Yarrowia lipolytica: one gene and its partner. The main gene of each other region encodes a partner of the protein of the gene in region 2 in a complex. Links are inferred from orthologs where the notes say so. Each region holds a gene or a part of one and is shown on either strand. Other genes may lie near its edges.

Region 1 (8,370 bases), on a different chromosome or scaffold from region 2:
TTGTTTCCCATCGACAAGCACGATACAAGTGCTGTACCAAATGAGTACGAGCACTACATATACCGGGACTCGTACTTCTACCGATACACTTTCACTCTGGTAATATGGTTGCATGCCAGCATCAATGTATGCAACAAGGGTCTGAAGATATATGGAAACGGTGACAGGGTTATCAGAGCCTGTCCAGGTGGTTTCTTTCGAGAAAAACTGAACTGAACCAATTGTCTTTTGTGTTAGAGTGATTGGCTTTGCCACAGCGTGTACTGGTACGAGTACTATGAATATATATACCCGCTTCTGCACCAGTTTTCACTCCAACTCCAAGCCCAAGTAAACTCTAGCGACCTACTCAAGGTTATACTTGCCAGGGGTCAAGTGTACGATGTACAGCAGCAGGCTCAATAAACAGGTGTTATTGGACCAATTGAGTGCGCTCGCCCACAACTGGGTTGCTTAATCGTTGCCATCCCCGCAACGAGGCAGCATGCTTGTTATGTACCGCTTTCCAATGACAGACTGGACTCAGTCTCAAAAGTACCCTTATGGTTCCTCCGCCAAGCGTAAACCACAGACCGCAACCTGAGCCTCGGTTAACCGTCGCCGTTGCTTCCCGGTGCGCGCTGGCAGGAACCTGAAACCACTAAGCGCGCCGCCACAAATAAATGTACGTCAACCGAGTGTGGCGAGAAGTCATACTTCGGATGTACGAGACCCCCCACCACCTCCGCAATCTGCACCCACTTACTCCACGTCCACCCTTTACCCCTCATTCTCCAATCCCGCTTGCGCCGTTGTCAGCCAGTCCCTGCCTAATGGCAAGTGCAGATTGAGTTAGTGTACATAGCCGACTATCGTATGTATGCGCGCTGGTTCCAGCAATCTGTTCCAGAATAGTCGTATGTCTCAGATGGGTTGGTGGAGGTGGTGGTGGCGAAGACCCCGCTCTACCCCGCAAGGATCTGTAGGTATATAAAGGACGAATACCCCTCCCAAGCTCCCGCTTGCCACGGGCTAGTTGTTAGAGTACCGCCATTCGTACAGTCTACAGTTGCGGTCATTTTAGTCTACGGAGTTTAAAGACAAGCCAACGTTTTTCACCGAATAAGGTAGCCACGGAAAAATGGAGGGCGAGGAGAGGCCGGAAGAGACAAGTATGAGTACGACCCGTAGCAGTAATTGAGACAGGTCATGGGCCAGTCGCCACACAGATAGGCTTGGCAGGTGGGCGGTCACGTGCATGGTCGCCAGACCAAAGACCTTCAGTCAATTGCACCCCGTTTAGGGCATGCATGGACTGCCTCATCCTGCTTGGGACCGGTCAATGACTCTTGGTTGGGCTGGGATGGAACATAATAAACTCACCATGCAGCCGCCTACTACTATCTCCAAGTTTCGCTAACGCTCGGAAAACGCACAGACACCACGGCAACCCATCTCTCGACAATGACGTTTGCAGACTGGTTGGTGGCGGCGTCGTTCTCGCACCTGATCACGGCGCTCTACGTGGGCTCTCTGTATCTCAGCAAATCCACCCGGCCCTCCAAGCTCGTCCGAAGAGACGACGAGGTGGTGGTCAAAAAACGCATGCAGATTATATCGCTCGGCACGCTCGTGGACGTGCTGGTAATCACACCGCTCGTGCTGCAATGGCAGCTCAAGCCGCAGATTGTCACGTGGTCCGAGACCATCAAGTTCATGGACATTGAGCTGGGCCCGCACTTCTTCACACGCACCGTGCCTACCTCGGTGCTGGCTCTGATCCACGTGGCGATACTGTTTGCTGGCCCGCTGTACCAGCGCATCTACCTGGAAAACGGGCTCCCGCTGGGCTTCCACCTGGCCAAACGCGAGCTCAAGACCGTGTGGGGCATCCGAAACTACATTGTGGGACCCATCACCGAGGAACTCGTGTTCCGAGCTTGCATCATGTCCGTGCACAAGGCTGCGGGCTACTCGCCTCTGGCGTCCGTGTTCGTCACGCCGCTGTATTTTGGTGTCGCTCATCTGCACCACGGCTACGAGCTTTACGTCAGCATGGGCAGTAAAGGGAAGAACAAGGTCATGGTCATTGCGCTGCAGTGCGCCGTGCAGCTCGTCTTCACCACGCTCTTCGGCTGGTACGCCGCCTGGCTCTACGTGCGCTTCCAGTCCGTCTGGCCCCCCGTGTGCGTCCACATCTTCTGCAACGCCATGGGAGTGCCTGATTTCTCGGTCGATGGAGTCACCAAGAAACAATTCAAGACCTACCAGACGCTGCTGGCGGCTGGATTTGTCGGTTTCCTTGCCACAATGACCTTGTTGATTCGGTGGTAAACAAGGGGAACACAAGTGAGCGCATTACCAAAGTGAGAACTGCGTGAGCAGCACTTACTCTGTGAGCCCACGGTTATCACGCCGTAATCCACCAACCTGAACCCAGAGTGTTCGTCCAAAAGCTCGTGGGTAACACGCTCACTCGGAGTATATTTAAAATGTATTTAGTTGAAGTTGCATTAGTTGCTGGCCCGGGAGTTGCTGTCGGACCAGAATGAGTAAGATAGCAAGCACAAAGCAGTAGCTAACGTAGCTTGTACGCGTCTCAAGAACGTGTCAGGACTATATCTGCGTCTCTATAGGTTCGGTCAGGGGACACTATGTTGGGATTATCGGTGTCAGAGTTCTTTCTGCTGTCTCGAAGCTCAGATATGTCTCACTAATATTCAGCGAGAACCTGATGTGGCTAGATATGTGCGCGTGTGAGTACTGTACTTCTACTACTGTATGTACAATACTCTAGGCGCTTGAGTCCATGAATTGTGAAAGTATAGTGTACAAGGCATGTATAGACCGCTACCTCTTGCACACTTTTCGGTTTTATAATGCATTTTATAGATACGGATTACTGTCTACGGGTTGAGACAGGTCTTCTGGAGACTTTTTTTAATATCGGCCGCCTTGTGTGGACTTGATTTCAGCTCTCACTTGACCTGAATACCACACAATCTGGCGACGCAGCCTGCTAACTGCAGATATGTGGTGATTCCTTCGAGGATTCTCATGTGAGTGAAGCCAATCTCCTTAATGTACTCCAGCCGTAGCGCCTCGGGCACCTCCAGTGTCTTGGTGACTCGGAACATTGTGGAGATGATATCCTGGGCGCTGTATCCCTTGGTCCACAGCTGCTTGAGCGACTCGCATGCCTCGGTCACCTCACCCTTGCTGCAGGCATCCAACATGGATTTGACGACCACGGGATGGGGGGAGTCCACCACCTTCCAAACGTTGGAAGAGTTGACGAATCCGAATCCAGACACAGTTCCCTGCAAGTTATTGATCGCCTGACGCATATCTCCCTCCGCCGAGAAAATGAGAGCAGACAGGCCGTCGTCTGAGCACTGCACGTTTTCAGCCTCGACAATGTGCAGCAGTCGCTCGAGCACCTGTTCATTAGAGAGTCGGCCAAATCGAAGAATGGCGCATCGCGACTGAATGGCCTCAATGATTTTGTTGCTCTGGTTGCAGGCAAAGGCGAATCGAGTAGTATCAGAGTACAACTCCATGGTTCGTTTGAGCGCATTTTGGGCACCAGCAGTCATACTGTCGGCCTCATCCAGAATGATGATCTTGTGTTTACCAGGAGGCATGGTCACTTTCTTCTGGGCAAAGTTCTTGATCTTACCTCGAACCACCTCGATACCTCGATCATCTGAAGCATTGAGCTCCAGAACAGCGTCTTTGTACAGCTGGGGACCGAGAAGAGTACGCGCAAGACAATGCACGGAGGTGGTCTTTCCAATACCGGGGAGACCGGAAATCAACAAGTTGGGAATGTTTCCGTCCTTGGCCATGATCTTAAGTCGTTCAACGGTTTCTGTATGACCCACAACGTCGTCGAGATACATGGGTCTGTACTTTTCAACCCAGGGCAGCTCGAACTCGGGCTCTCCCTTTCGCTTTTTCGATGGTCCGGCTTCACTCATGTTGTGTAATATTAGTGTGTGCTGTGATGTGTCGTGTTGGACGTGATTTTTTAGCACTTGATTACTGTAATTTCGGCAGACGTGTATTAATTGAGTTCGCGATGCACGAGGGTTTGTAGGGTAGTTGGAGTGCTGGATACAATCAGGTTTCGCTAATAAATTGTCGCTGGAAGATAATAGGAAATGATTAATTTGACAGCGGAAAATATACTGCTCTTTTCAAATTTGGTTCTAGTAAAAAAAAGTGGCACTGTTTGGCCGACACTTGTGGTGCTTGTTCTGTTAGTCTAGTTCAGTTGTTTGTTGAGTGAAGTCAACTAATTGAATATACCGCTGCAGCTTCCTCGATGGTCATACAGTAGTAATTATTACACTCCACTCTGCGCAATGATGACACACAGAAACACCAACCACTATCCACAATCACATCATTCTATCATCTCTCAATTATTCATACAAATACATTTCATTAACTGCTTCTATACATATGAGCCCTGGCTCCAGTTGATGTGTATTGTGGGACCAGAGGTGCGGACAACTGTTCGATCTGCGCCATCTGGTGACATGATTAGATGTAAAACCTCCGAACAGACCATTCGCCCCGCTCGTGTTCCGGGCAATTATCACTCGCTTCGTTTATGATTAAATCACCTCGACAACCTCATCATCAGAGTCAACCTCCTTCACCTTGGCATCATCTCCAGCCTCCTTGGGCTCGTCCCGCATGAGCATCTGCACAACTCGGTCGCATCGCTCCTGGATGGTCTGGTCGTCGTGGTTCTTATGCAGCTCTCGAACAATAGGGTAGACGGATTTGGTTCGCATGTACTCTCGCATCTCCCGCGAAGTGGTCAGCAGCAGCAGAGACTCCAGATGAGTGCACATGATGTCGAGATCCTCCTCTCGTCGCTTGTCGGGCGTCAGCAGCTGCAGCTCTTCGGGCAGATCAAAGATCTCTTCGGGGTCCTCTAGGTCCTCAGGGCCCGCCAGGGGCAGCATGATGAAGGGCAGCAGGTTGATTTCGGGGTCAAGCACAAACTTGGAGTGCTTGTCGGTGTCAAACAGCGAGTTTTTGATTGTAGAAGCAACACCTTCTCGTCGGATTCGCGAGTCCACAAACTCGGTGAAGGGCAGCAGCTTCTGGATGGGGAACAGACCATCGTAGGGCTGCTCAGTGACAAAGTAGTCTCGACCTCGTCGGAATCGCGACAGATCGGCAAAGAAAAAGGCCAGGTAGTCGAAGTTGGAGAAGAGGTTGAGCTTGCCGGTAGCGCCCTTGACAAAGCAGTCCATGAGCGAATCGATGAGCTTTTCCGACTTGAACACCTCCGTGTTCTTGAGCTTCTTGGTGGCGTCGAAGATGGACACAATGTGGTCGTCCTTGGCCAGGTTGGCTAGCAGCATACAGCACAGATCGGCCTGCTTGTTCTCGAGATCGCAAATCTCGCAGGCAATCATGGCTACGAACATGGAGTTGGACGCCAGCATGTCGAGAATGTCTCTGTCATCGCATAGGTTGATGAGAATGGTCAGAGCGTTCTCCACATTGACTCTGGGGGTGCCCAGCATGACGGTGGCCACCAGATCCTTGACTCCCTGGTAGTCGTTGGCCTTGAACTGCTCGGCATGGCCCTGTGAGTAGCCCACGAGGGACTGTAGAGCAACCTGCTTGACGGCAGGGTGGTCGGAGTGCAGAAATTCGATTAGTTCTTGGAATTCGGAAGACATTGTGTGTGTTGTAGTTGTCTGGAAAACTTGGATTTATCGCAGTCTAATTTTGAAAATATATTTTTTGGGTTCATGGCACGTGACCCGGAAGGAGAAGGTAGTGTCAATAAATACGTTAATATGAATCCTATTGAGTGGGTGAAAACTTGAATCAAGTCTAAGGAGTCGCATGGACGTTTTGAAGTTGCCAATTACCAGATTTGAACTACGGAAGGCTTCGATACCAACACCCAAATATCTCCCCTCGCTAACTGATCAGAGTTTTGATGCCTGACCTGCATGGGTGGCAATGGTGGAAATAGATGGAATTTCTTGGAATTTTGTATTATCGCCTACGGATTGAAAAATGAGACAGCAGGAAGTGTTGCAGACTGGTAACGAACTCATCCCATGACTAGTATTGTCTCTATATGTGTTTGTCGTCTGACAAAAGTTTTTTTTTTTTTTTCTGCATATACATTCATTTAATTATAACTTTGCTGTGAAAGAATAACAAAAGAAGGCAGTTTGAGAGTCATTTGTTAAGTAATTACTTGAGACATTTACCGAAGTATAATTGGCGATTTAATTGAACATGGAAGTTGATATAGTCTCAGAGAAGCTGTATGTACTGGGGATAGGAGCAGGGGTGGGGGCGGTGGCACCTTTTATACCTGTATATCACACCCCCTAAATTCACTGCAACACCTATATCTAAACTCCGGGGAACATGGATCTACGTACATATCGTTTTCGTTGAGCGGGGGTGTCAGACGCATGTAGGCTGATAAGGGCGTGGAAAGTTTCCTGAATGAGAGCACCCCTCCGAGAAGAAGAGAGCAATTGTAGGCAATTATCGACCGAAAACCCACATAGGATGAAAAGCAGCCGTTGCGTAACGGGGTATTTAAACGTTCCTTATCTGTTTCAACTCTTCATATGAGTTCCAAGCCGCTCCACCCTCTAGTCTTCCCCCACCTTGCGCGTCGCATATTAAACTCCCGCTGCGGCTCGAGTGCGGAGATACCGTATGATAACAAAAGCCAATATATAATGCCTTGGAGTGGCATCGACGGTGTTGGCCAACTATCGTCGACAAAACCTGATTGCAACCTTCACCATGGTTCTCACATTCGAAATTGCTAGAGAGAAGTTCCTCAAGATCAGAGACGATTCCATTGCAGAGCTGGACAAAGTGTTTCCTCCACCCGAGGACTCGAGACATCATGAAGTTCCCGCAAAGTTGCCCAAGAACTCCATCCCCGTGTTCCAGGAGATGCTGGCCCATGACGATGCAGCTATCATCAATTCGGACCCAATCGAGCTGCTCGATCAGCTTGCTAAGGCCAAGGTATCGGCTGTGGCTGTCGCAGGAGCGTTCCTAAGAGCTGCTGTTATTGCCCAGACTCTCACAAACTGCCTGACGGAGCTGCTTCCTCGAGAGGCACTGGAAACTGCTCAGAAACTTGATGACTATCTAAAATCCACAGGAAAGCCCGTGGGTCCTCTACATGGACTTCCCGTGTCCGTCAAGGAGATGGTGGGCTTCAAAGGCCGAACCTGCCACTTTTCCGTGTCTTCCAAGATCAACAACATCACTCCGGACAATGCTATCATCCTTAAAGTACTCTACAAAGCCGGAGCTAACCCTTACTGTCGAATACCGGTCCCCAATTTCTCATGTCGCTGGAATCAGAGTCGCCTCTCCATGGAAAGACTTACAACCCCTATAACCGAGATCTCACGTCTGGAGGCTCATCCTCGGGTGAAGGAGCCATCGTCGGTCTTGGAGCGTCTGTTTTGGGTCTCGGAACTGACATTGGAGGCTCAATTCGAGGTCCAGCTGCTTGCTGTGGTGTCTATGGTCTTCGTCCGTCTGTAGGAAGAATTACAAACACGGGCTGTGATTATGTTATGCATGGAGCAGACTCGATCAAGGCATGTATTGGGCCCTTGACTTCATCTCCGAAGCTGCTGGAGTTATTCATGAAGGTCATGTCGGACGCAGAAGTCTGGAGATACGACCCCTTCACTGAACGGTCTATGTGGAATCCAGCTCTATTTCAAAAGAAGAAGCTAAGAGTGGGCTACTACGCTGACGACGGCTACGTTACTCCCCATCCCCCTGTCATTCGGGCTGTCAACGAGTACCTTGATAAGATCAAAAAGTTGAGCTTCAAGCATGTCGAGATCGAACTGGTTCCATTCACTCCTTACGACCCATCTGGAGCCGTCCATATCATCTCGTCGCTATACTTCCCCGACGGAGGAAAAGAGCTCAAAGAAGAGCTGTCCAGTGTTGGAGAATCTCTTACTGAAATGAGCAAAATGGCTCTAAATAACCCCAGCGTCCAGCGATTCAACATCGAGGAGCTCTGGAAAGCACACACTCAACGAGACACCTTCCGTTGGAACCTGATGCACGAGTGGACCAAGGCTGGAATCGACATGCTCATCACCCCGGTTCTGCCGGGAGCTGCCTTCAAGTTTGGAACTTGCAACTACTGGGGATACACAGCGTACTGGAATCTGGCGGATTACACTTCCGTGTCAGTCCCTTACTCGTCTGTCAAGGCTTCCGACAAGCCTGTGGAGGACTTCAAGCCCCGAAACAAGCTAGATGCCGAATGGCAGGCGTTGTATTCTCCCGAGACGTATGAAGGAGCTCCTCTTTCTATCCAGTTGATTGCTCCTCGAATGCAGG
Region 2 (10,148 bases):
GGCTGCTTAACTATAAGTCTGAGTGTCGATCTGTCAAGGGTTAGATAAGCGCGCAATGGGGGGTGGGGGTTTGGAAATGGCAATCACGTGATAAAAGAACGGCCCACGCGACGTTGAGATTCCGGGCACGTGTAAGTCAAGTGATATCTGTCGTCGTCTCCGGCAACCGACGGGCATATCTTTACTTGACTCGATTCGACCGTTTTCAACGGTGTTCTGATCGACGGTCCAGTAGATGATCGCTGAGCTGAAATGAAACCGCGCCGATCTTTTGGGGTCAGATTCAGAGTTTCCTGTATGTCTTATGAGTCGGTAGAACTTGGGTGTGTAGAATCATGATGAGAGGAGAAAACATCAATCTGTGAAACCATGGAGAGAGTTAAAGAGAGTAGCTATAGGATACATACTTATATTATATGAATAACGAGTGCTGAAGTCCCTTCCAGTTCACCCAACTTGAAAACCCGCTGTCACGTGTTACCATGCCGAGTTTCCGATTCTGGGATAATCCAAACGACATTTGTGACTCGTAACACTTCAAAATGACACCAAATACGTCTGTCTTTCCGTCATTTATCTATTCCCAACCATTTCCCAAGTAACTACTTACTAGATTTTTTAACAAAAAAAATAATAAGACAGTGCATCTTATTCACGCACATCCCTTCTTGCTGCAACCGCATTGTCTCACCCCTGGAACTGGCATAATTACTCCGAGTATATTATAGATGTATAATCTCCATCTCCATTGTTTGTTTGGTCGTGTGAGCAATATAATAGGGTTAGGGTTAGGGTTCGTTTATATGCTCGCGTGCGCACTCTAACTTAAAATTGAAGATGAACTACAGCTCTTAGAAATTTAACCAGGACTCGTAATTATCCATGACTAGTACCAAAGGGTTCCCCGGGACTCAAAAGTACTATTAATCTGTTTAAAATCCCGTTTTGGCCAATATTTACCCGTTTTTACCCATTCTCCGTCCCATATACATGATGCATTAAACATGCATTGTGCTGCAGAGATGCACCGCATTGCACCCGCAGGTAGACAGCCTCAAGCCGGTACGGCTCATGTCACGTGGACAGTCCGAGCCGCGAATTATTATTCTTGTGCAGCCGCACATTACCTTGCATGTGACTGGTCAATTCGACTTGTCAGTCATATGACTCAATTTGGGGCATATTTACCTTGATGTTTTTTTTTATATATAATAATAATTTTAAATAATTTAAATACTTAATAGTATAATTCGGTGGAAATTTATTTGTTTTTTCTCTCTTCTAAATTTAACTTGCAAACTAAGCCAAGGTTAAAATAGCCGCTTGTTTTTTGGGGTGTTTTTTTTTAGGACTCCGAAGAAAGATAAAGGGAGGAATAAGTCAGGAAAATGGAAGAGTGCGTTTTGTTGATCTCGTCATTCCGATTCCAACAGCATCTCTCTTTTTCTTGTAGCCCCAATTTGCGGCATATTTTGAGGTCTGTATTTTTTCCAGCAAACTTTCGGCCGGGTAATTTCAAGGGGAAGAGGGGGGAGGTGAAAAGATGCCGCCGAAATTTGCTCAATACAAGAGCTAGAGAGACGGACGGTTGTGTGTGGCGGATGAAACACTCACTGCAACTGGTTGGGTCACGTGACTGGACCGGGATCTGCCTGATGTCTCCTCATGTGACCTGTTTCTGCCGTCGTCTCGGACTCTTCTGACTGCCCTGATCGTCTGGCAGCATGGTTCATCGCATCTCATCTCATCAAACAGGCTTAGACTTGCTCGAGCGAGCGTCAGTTGGGATTTGGATTGCGTGCGCATTGCCGAGAAAGCAGGGGAAAGAATGCTGCCCCTCTTGGCGCCAAGCCGGGAGGTCTTAAAGGTGGATTTGCGAAAAAATGCAAATTGCGACACATTTTTGTGAGAGTGTATGGGGATATTTTGATATGGTTGAGCCCGTGAGATGGGGACGAATCCAACGATACCATTAATGAAACTCCCCGATATCTGCAGCAAAAGTTGGAAATTTCGATGCAATTCTCGTCTCTTTCTCTTTTTATAATCTGAGGCTGTGTTTTGAAGGTTGAGAAGACGCTCTTGGTATGAGTGAGACCGTCATGTTGCGGAGAATCCAATTCCGTTGCTATTTCAGTCGCCAGGGCACTGCATCGAGTGTTGGCTTGTTTCGATCCTTCATGCTTGCTATCATAATACGTATAGTACATACATAGCCGACAGAGATGCATGTTTGTTCCGTTTCGATACTGACGTTCTCTTTGACTTAGACCTCGATTGTGTCGATGACGTATGATCGTCGGTACAAATCGAGTACAAGTACTGTACAGATGCTGTACTCGAACTTGTAGTTGGTGGTTGTTTTAGTTGGTATTCCGGCAGGTCTCTGAAGGTCGAAATGGGTATCATTGGGAAGCCGGAGAGGCGGTTACTGCGAGACGGTTGTTGCGAGACGGTTATATTTCGGAAATACTCTCCGTCAAGTAGTGCTGGTATTGCGGATATTGCGGAGTTGGTTGCATTCTTGATGCTGACTAATATGGTCGACTGAATTTCGACTTTGGTGAAACTTTGAAACAGAGATAATATGGAATAAATTGGCATCAATGGAATGCTGTGGAGTCGAAGAATCTACTGGTGCAGCTCCGGCATCTCTGGCACTACTGTGACACGAGTTATGAGTAATTTCGTATCCTGAAAATATTTTAGTCGCCAACAATGTTGTAGTCTAAAAAGTAACCGTTGTTGGAGCTTTTATAACTATTTAGTTGAAAAATCAACCTCCCAACTAACTCTTCCTCTTACATTTCACTTGTTCCAGATACCAGAGAGAATAATACGGAAAGCAACTAATATAGTGACACAGACACCGCTTCCGATACCGCCACTGATACCTCTCCTTTTCCACCTCTTCTGCGTCACCATCTGTGTCCTTTCTGTCGGAACACAGGCACCGCCCTACACAGCTCGACTCTCGTCGCGTCATCATATTAAGGATTGAACAGGGGCTCAATCGCAGTGGCAAAATGCCGTGACCTAATCTGCTATTGTCGGCCGGCCACTCTGGTGGGCAGCGTGCCAGGCATGGACGGAATCGTGCTGTTAGCCGGGAGATCTGTTGTTGCTGCTGGTTCAGCACTGGTTCTGACCCTGACTCTGGTTCTGACCCTGGAGCTTCATCTTCATGTCTCCAGGGCTAGCCCCAGCGGCATCTTCATCCGCCACCCACAGCTCCGCTACCCTTCAACCAGACTCTTCCACCAGTCACGGCTTCTGTCGGCGACTTCGGGATATGGTACGTACACACTGCTGGCACAATATCTAATGACAGAGTCATAATCCCCTCTTATTGACACAGCATGGTGACCTGAAACCAACTGGCACGCCACTCACCGTTCCGCACATGGTTTCCACCCGTGAAAGCTGTCATGAAACTTCCTGGCTCACCTGGCTCGAATCCAAGCGGCATTGCCCCCGCAGACAGGTCTCCCAGGGTGCATGTACATTTCTGAGTCGATTGTTGTCTACTCTGAACCTCTGACCATAATTCTAGAGTCACCCTGTTGAGATCTTCCGACCCCATATGGCCCAGACTTTGTTCTCCTCTCAGGCCGAGCATTTGGCATTAAGAACTCCATGGGGCGCAACAAAGACTGTCATCAGTTCGCATTGAGGGCGTGTGTAGTTCTACTTCTGGCTCGGACAGTGTGACCATGCCCCAATCAGTCCTAAAGTCACCACATTCCAAAACTCGATCGCAGTCATTCCTGCCAAGCAAAGCCGTGGCTGTCCACAACAGAAGTTTGTCCTACTTGGCCTTGCTACGCGACCATGTACACTGTATACATTTGTATTCATTGTATCTTACTCCATCCACAACTGCTCCCAGGTGAGGTCCCGCCGGACAGCGTTGGAGTAGCCCTCAAAGTACGACACCCACGTGTTCAGCGTGTCTTGTTGCTCCTTGGCCTCGTTGCGGACCACCTGCGACGGCGTGATCTCGACCGTTTCCTTGATAAAGAAGTCCAGCAGGGTGGACGACTTGGATGGCTTTTTTGCCGTTGACGAAGATGGCGGGGGCCCGCCGCGCGTCCTCGGATCCGGGTCTCGTGCCAGATCATGTGCCGCCACGTGTCTCTTGTTGGGTTGCACCTGGGAAAATTCGCCTGGCCGCTTGAGGGTCGGGTCCGGGGTGAGGATCTTGTAAAGGGACTCGAGGAACACGGAGTTTGTGTCCCGGGGCTGGCCATCCGGGGCACGTGACAGGTCGCACACCGGCGGCACAAACACGTACACGTCTTCCCTCTTGGAGGAGATTTCATTGTACACGTTCTCCTTCTTGAGGGACACTCCCAGGGAGGTGAGAGATTCTGCGAGAGACGCCATTTGTTCCGGGGTGACTCCTCTCTGTTGTCGGGTCATAGTGTCCAGGAACATTCCCAGATCATCTAGCAGCGTTTCTTTGTTGAGATACCGCCTTAGTTCGACGGGAATGTTGCTGTAGATGTCGTTGAGACGCAGCTTTTGGGTCTGAGTCTGGTTGGTGAGGGAGTAGTCGGTTTCGACGTTGGTCACGTGGTTTTTGGTGGTGGATCCAAACATCAGCGAGAAGGCCGCGAGCGTATACGGGTGGTAACTGTCGCGGGACCCCAGCGTGTTGGCGAGGTCGTACAGGTGGTACCAGTCATCGAGTTTGGCAATGTTGGTGAGTTGGGTGAGGTTGCCTGCTCCCGAAAGGCACGTGATGTAGGCTGAGAAGGCTCCAAACACAAGTTTATTCCATTCTCCGCATCGCAGCGATCTCTGGCACAAGTTTTCCACGTGGTTAGCCCGGTCTTTGCCCACGGGCACGTGACTGAAGAGTGAACTGACAATGTTGTTCCACAGCGCCGACTTGTCCACCAGATTGGCCGTGTCGGCCTCGGGGGTTCCAAACTGCAGAATGTTGATGGCTTGTCGAATGTCTCCGTCGGTGGAGTTGCAGATGTCTGCCAGGAATCTGTTTTGTTTGGAGGTGAGTTTTTGCAGCTTCATCTCCGTTCGAAACACGTTTTGCACGATTCGCAGCGATTGAGCTGGCGACAGTCGGCCGTAGTTGACGATTCGACAATGCGGCCGGAGTTTGTACAGCAACCCGTGGAGGTTGTTTGCGATGCAGATGATGGGTCGGCTGATGAGGGTGTTGAGTTTGTCTTTGGCGCTGGTCTTTTTATGTCTGTTTTTCCGCTCATGCCATAACTCCTCCTTTTCGTCGCGCTGCACGAGCTTGACCAACTTGTCGATGAAGATTGGGTCCGCTCCGTCAATCTCGTCGAGAATCACGCAGTTAGGACGGTCTTTGGAAGTGACGGAGTGGGTTCTCATGGGACCCAAAACGCCCCGTCGGAACGCTTCGCTGCCACGGTCGTCAGACGCGTTCATCTCCAGCGTGTTGAACCCCAAATTCCGGGCCAAAACCCCACAGGCGGTGGTTTTTCCGGTTCCGGGCTCGCCGTGCACAAGCAGGATCCGCTTCTGGGGGCGGTCACGTGCCTCGCGCTCCTCGTAGACCCCACGTGATCCTGCGTGGACAGCATCTTCGATTCGTCCGCTTTTTTTAAGCCATTTTTCCCGCTGCTTGGCTTTGAATTGCACCGCCTGCGACGGAGTCTGGAAAATGAAGGAGTTCCATTCACTCAGCCAGTACAAAATGTCCTTGTGGCGGTCGGAATGGCCGTTCAGATCCAGCAGCTTTTGCGGCCGCAGTTTTTCCACCCAGAGGTGGCCGTCCCGTGACCCAATTCCAGACACGAGCAGACCCGCACGATGTCTCGAATCGCTGAATGCGTCTGCCGGAATTTTGGACGTATCGCAAGATGCCGTTTTCGGGCGGGTATTTCCGGTATCTCCAGCGGTAGGATTTGGCGTATTGCAAGTTTCGCTGCTGTCGAATTTTTGGCCCACCAGCTTCTGTCTGATGCCGCTCACATCGATTCCGTAGTGGTTCTTCAGCGATTCCTCCTCCTGTTGCATTGTTCGGAGCCGGGTCGTTTTGATGTACTTTTTCGCTCGCGAAAGGGTCATTCCGGAGTAGAGCGTGATGTATCGGGTGGGCGAAGTGCGGTCACGTGGCATATCACGTGACGGAGCGGCGGAGGCGGCAGAAGCTGGCAAGTCTTTGGGTTCGTTGGCTCTCAACATTTCCGCAATGAAGTCATCTTCCTCCGCCGCCGGCGACGGGAAGCGCGTCATGTGATTATCCAGGTCGCACATCTGGGTCACGTGGTTGGTCATGGGATCGCTGGTCGGTTCTACCTCCTCACCTCCCCGCTCCCCCTCCCCCTCATCCTCTTCGGCAGACATGGATAGATCAGAACCTTCGGAAAGCTCCATATCGGACTCGTCACGTGGAAGTTCACGTGACCGCGTTCCAACGCGCTGCAGCTCGTCCAGTGCGCTCCCGGACCCAAACAATCCTCCTCCCCAGTCTAGAGACATGGTGTTCAAAGGTGTGTCGAAGTGTCGAAAAGTGCTTAAAAAGTGCGTAAAAATGTGTTTTGGGCGCTCGGTTGGGTTGTCACGTGTCACGTGAGTGTTTTGTGGCGGTGCAGCAGCGGTTTTGAAGGTGTAGAGGCGTCCTGTAAAAGCGTCCTGTAGAGGTGTATCAGTGGTTGTAATTTGAAACGCGAAATTTCAATTAACGTAGAAGCGCGTTTTAGGTTGATGTTAGGGTTGGTTGGGTTGGGGTTCGTGGATCAGTGGATACAAAATACAAATACTTACAGTGTTACCACAATATGTTACAATAGTGGTTATAAATTTATTTTAAAGAATTCAATATAATAAAAAATTAATTAACATCCACTGAACAGCAACGATTAAGTATGCTCGTGTTATTCACTCACCAAATCACCCCCAAAACGCTTGAAACGTCCTTGGATGCATTTTACTTATTTATATTGTATTTTTATTTTTTATTTTATTTTTTATTTTTTATTAATTTATTAATTATTTATTTTTCCAGAACAAAAAAAAACACAAACAGATGTTCTTGTTTAGGTGCTGTTAATATTCTAACAAAGGTCTCAACAAAAATACCTGCTTGCAATTTTATGACCATCTCCAGAATGAAATTCTGTTGATGCCAAAATAACCACAATTTAGGATCAGTTAGAAACTCATTTATTCTGTATCTTCATGTATCGAAATATATTCTATTCAATTTATGGAACATGGAAATGCGACCTCAAGCCGGTTTTTTGATTTAACAATTCTTAACTATTCACTTGGCAATCCCATCAACTGACAGACTGGAGACAGCAGCCAAACACGGTGGGTGTTTGAGTATAGAAAGCAATTTTTGATAGTATCGATCGGTAAGTTGAGGTCCAGATAATACAGCGGTTCTTGTAAATATCGATATTCGGTATTTTATGGATGTTTTTAAACAGAGAGACGAGGAGATTTCTCATCAAAAGCTCAACATCGTTAACTGTTCTAATTCAGTTACTTGACAGTTTATAGGGAAAAATAAAAGAAGAAAAAAAAACACTGACTCCAGGACGTTCTGTGATGTGGAATTGAGCTTTTTTTTTTTTTTTTTTTTTTTTTTCACGTAATGAATATAACGTGAGTGGAAATTGTCCATTCAAAATAATTCAAACAAAATCGTCTGGAATTGACAGACTTGACGCAACTGACTGACTGAAAAGTCTGTCAGTTTTATACATTTTCACGTCAGACAGACTTATCAATTTCACATAAACCTGTTTATGGCCGTTAAATATATCATTTTACTCGCTATCATCTCCACATTCCAACGGTACCACTAAATAATCTATATCTCTTGGTTCTATGGTGTTGTGACGGAACGGGTTTAAAAACGCACTGGTGAGAAACATACCACCCCAGAAATAACTTCTGGTGCTCTCGTGAACCTACCAAGGTTTCACTGAGTGTCTCAGGGGTGCGAACAGGTACAGTATTCAATACCAGGGTCTGGTACACTGTAGTATAAGATCTGACTGGTCGAATTGCACTGTACAACCACTATAAAGTTGATTTGTTTTTTTTTTTCTTCTCTTCTTACACTCCACTTTATGACAGCTCGGTAAGTGTTGTCAGTGACACAAAAGGAATGTGAGGGCGCAGCGCGTTAGGTGGACTCCGGAAACTCTCTTCTTTTGCTGCTGATTGGAATGCCGTCTACGTGCTACGTGTACTGGGCGGAGACTGCGTAATTACTACATGGACTGTGTGGTATTGACTACATGGAATGCGCAGTGACTAATTTGGCCTTGTGATGACTACATTAACTGTGGATTGTCACTTCAGACTAGAGTGTCTACTTCTCTTCCTGGCGGTAGGTACGAGTGCCACCGCCACGACCAGCGATATTGAGCAAATGATTGAGCAGAGCTGGTTGAGCGATATGGCTATTTGCTGTTGTCTTATCGTTGATGCTTGTCCTGAGTGAGTTGCTCCGACTCAACGACTGCATCTCGTTCACGGCTGATCCTGTGACTTGTTGCACTTTTCAATGGTTGCAGCGTTCGAGGTTTAGTGGGTGCGGCGTCTATGGTTCGCGCAGTCGACGGCTGTCTGAAGACATCAATTGTGGTAGTGGCTGTGGCTGGAACGAGTGATTTGTTTCTGATCAGGGGTTTACAGAAGCAATCTCTCAGATGTCGGTCTTTTGCAGATCTACAACCTCTGTCGATGGTGTCTAGATTCCCCTGGCACGTGTTCCAGGGTCGGACCGAGGATCAGCGCCCCCTAGTTCGTTGCAGGTTGTCAGAACGACTTAAACTGCTGGTCTTCATGAACCCGGACGTGAGTCACGTGGAGTCTTTTTGGAGTTCATTTCTTGACTCTGGGATGAGTCATTATTGACCGTATCGTTCGCGGCCTTGGTCCTGGCATTCGGTTGTTCTTCCCCTTGGCAGCGAGGAGTGCATCTTCTTGAAGTCAGGAGCCCACAGCTGGTCTTCTACAACATTCCCTACGGCGCTGTCGCAGGGGAGTTGAGTCCGGCACTCCTGCGGCAGCTTGAGAAGAACAGTGGCTCCTCGCACCCGCGTTCACAACCATCTCTAGTTTGTACAAATGATGTGCATACTCAGGTTGTGGGAGAGATGTGACATTTTCCCAAGAGTGTAGGGGGAGCATCCAGGCTCTTGTCTGAGTGGGTGTTTCCCAGATCAGGGAAAGTGCTGCTCTATTCGGCAGATTTGACTTACTAGCGCTTGTCTCGCGCAGGTTGTAATTCGGGAGTAATATTTGGCAGTCGAGTTGTCAGTCTGGTTGTCAGTCTGGGTGTCAGTTTTGGGACGCTGGCTAGAACTTCCTGTCTCAGCAGATTGACTTCTGCCACTCACCTCCGCTTTGTGTTTCCTGGCGAGATCTGTATGCTCAGATTGTCTCACTAAGAGGAATACAAATGCCGCATGTCACCTTTGACCAGCCGTATCTGAGCAAGTGATGGGTTGGGTGTGAACGCGGTGGATTGGCGGTGGATTGAACCTGGATGGATCCTCTAGCGGTGGATCCTCGGCGGACTCTCTAGCGGCAGGTCCTCTAGTGGTGGACCCTATAGCTGTTGGCAGAGCTCTTATTTGCTGCCAAATCACCACCCTAGATGGTTTGGGTCCACTTTTCATTTTGTGAAACTGCCCAGTTGAGGTCGACTTGGTACAACTCTCAATCAGGGTTACACAGTGTCAACACAGCATAATCAATGGCAGCGTCAATAGGCAAATAAGTGCAAGTAACTGCATGCTCACTCAGTAACTTTTTTTAGTTCAGAGTTGCTCAGAACTAGTTTTGTAATAATACATTGTTATTTTTTTGGTTTTTTTTCGTTTTTTTACAATTTTTCGGTCGTTTGGTCGTTTGGACAATATACCAACTATACAACGAAGAGTATATATAAATATATATATAAATAATAAAATGTCACGTGCGTTAATTGTTACTCTCTGATCCACGTGACAGTCTCTAGAGGAGCTCCGTTTGTTTAGTTTCTCTTGTTCGATTTTACGGGTATTTGTTTCGGATTTATCAGCCAACCTTGCAGCCGCTCCAGAGGACCAAAATGGGAGAAAATCAATAAACATTTCTACAGTTGTATTCTGCGCAATCGGTGCCCACTTTTCGTCAGGTCCACTTTT

Evidence for each region. Proteins that work in one complex are often made in the same cells at the same time.
Region 1: the proteins of YALI1_D31568g (region 2) and YALI1_F10688g are in contact, whole or in part, in a cryo-EM structure (PDB 8TW8), measured with the Saccharomyces cerevisiae proteins. The link is inferred for Yarrowia lipolytica from reciprocal best matches to the Saccharomyces cerevisiae genes CTF18 and RFC4. Residues at the interface, in NP_013795.1 of Saccharomyces cerevisiae: Asp394, Ser395, Lys416, Phe419, Leu428, Trp462, Phe465, Leu468, Met469, His476, Glu479, Leu480, Arg482, Tyr483, Leu486, Gln493; in NP_014547.1 of Saccharomyces cerevisiae: Asn148, Glu152, Gln155, Ser156, Val267, Phe271, Ala278, Gln279, Val280, Lys281, Glu282, Ser283, Arg285, Leu286, Ile289, Lys290, Ile292, Gly293, His296, Met297, Leu300.

What each region holds. Positions count from the first base shown.
Region 1 is NC_090775.1:1,064,468-1,072,837, reverse strand, and holds YALI1_F10688g (uncharacterized protein), read right to left. Parts: upstream 3,960-8,370; coding exon 2,958-3,959; downstream 1-2,957. Other genes in the region: YALI1_F10713g (uncharacterized protein), read left to right, coding at 1,444-2,313; YALI1_F10671g (uncharacterized protein), read right to left, coding at 4,602-5,687; YALI1_F10660g (uncharacterized protein), read left to right, coding at 6,787-7,548; YALI1_F10652g (uncharacterized protein), read left to right, coding at 7,581-8,370. UniProt on the Saccharomyces cerevisiae protein: Component of ATP-dependent clamp loader (RFC and RFC-like) complexes for DNA clamps, such as the POL30/PCNA homotrimer and the checkpoint clamp DDC1:MEC3:RAD17 complex.
Region 2 is NC_090773.1:3,150,309-3,160,456, forward strand, and holds YALI1_D31568g (uncharacterized protein), read right to left. Parts: upstream 6,478-10,148; coding exon 3,865-6,477; downstream 1-3,864. Other genes in the region: YALI1_D31526g (uncharacterized protein), read right to left, coding at 1,779-2,231. UniProt on the Saccharomyces cerevisiae protein: Essential for the fidelity of chromosome transmission. Required for the DNA replication block checkpoint.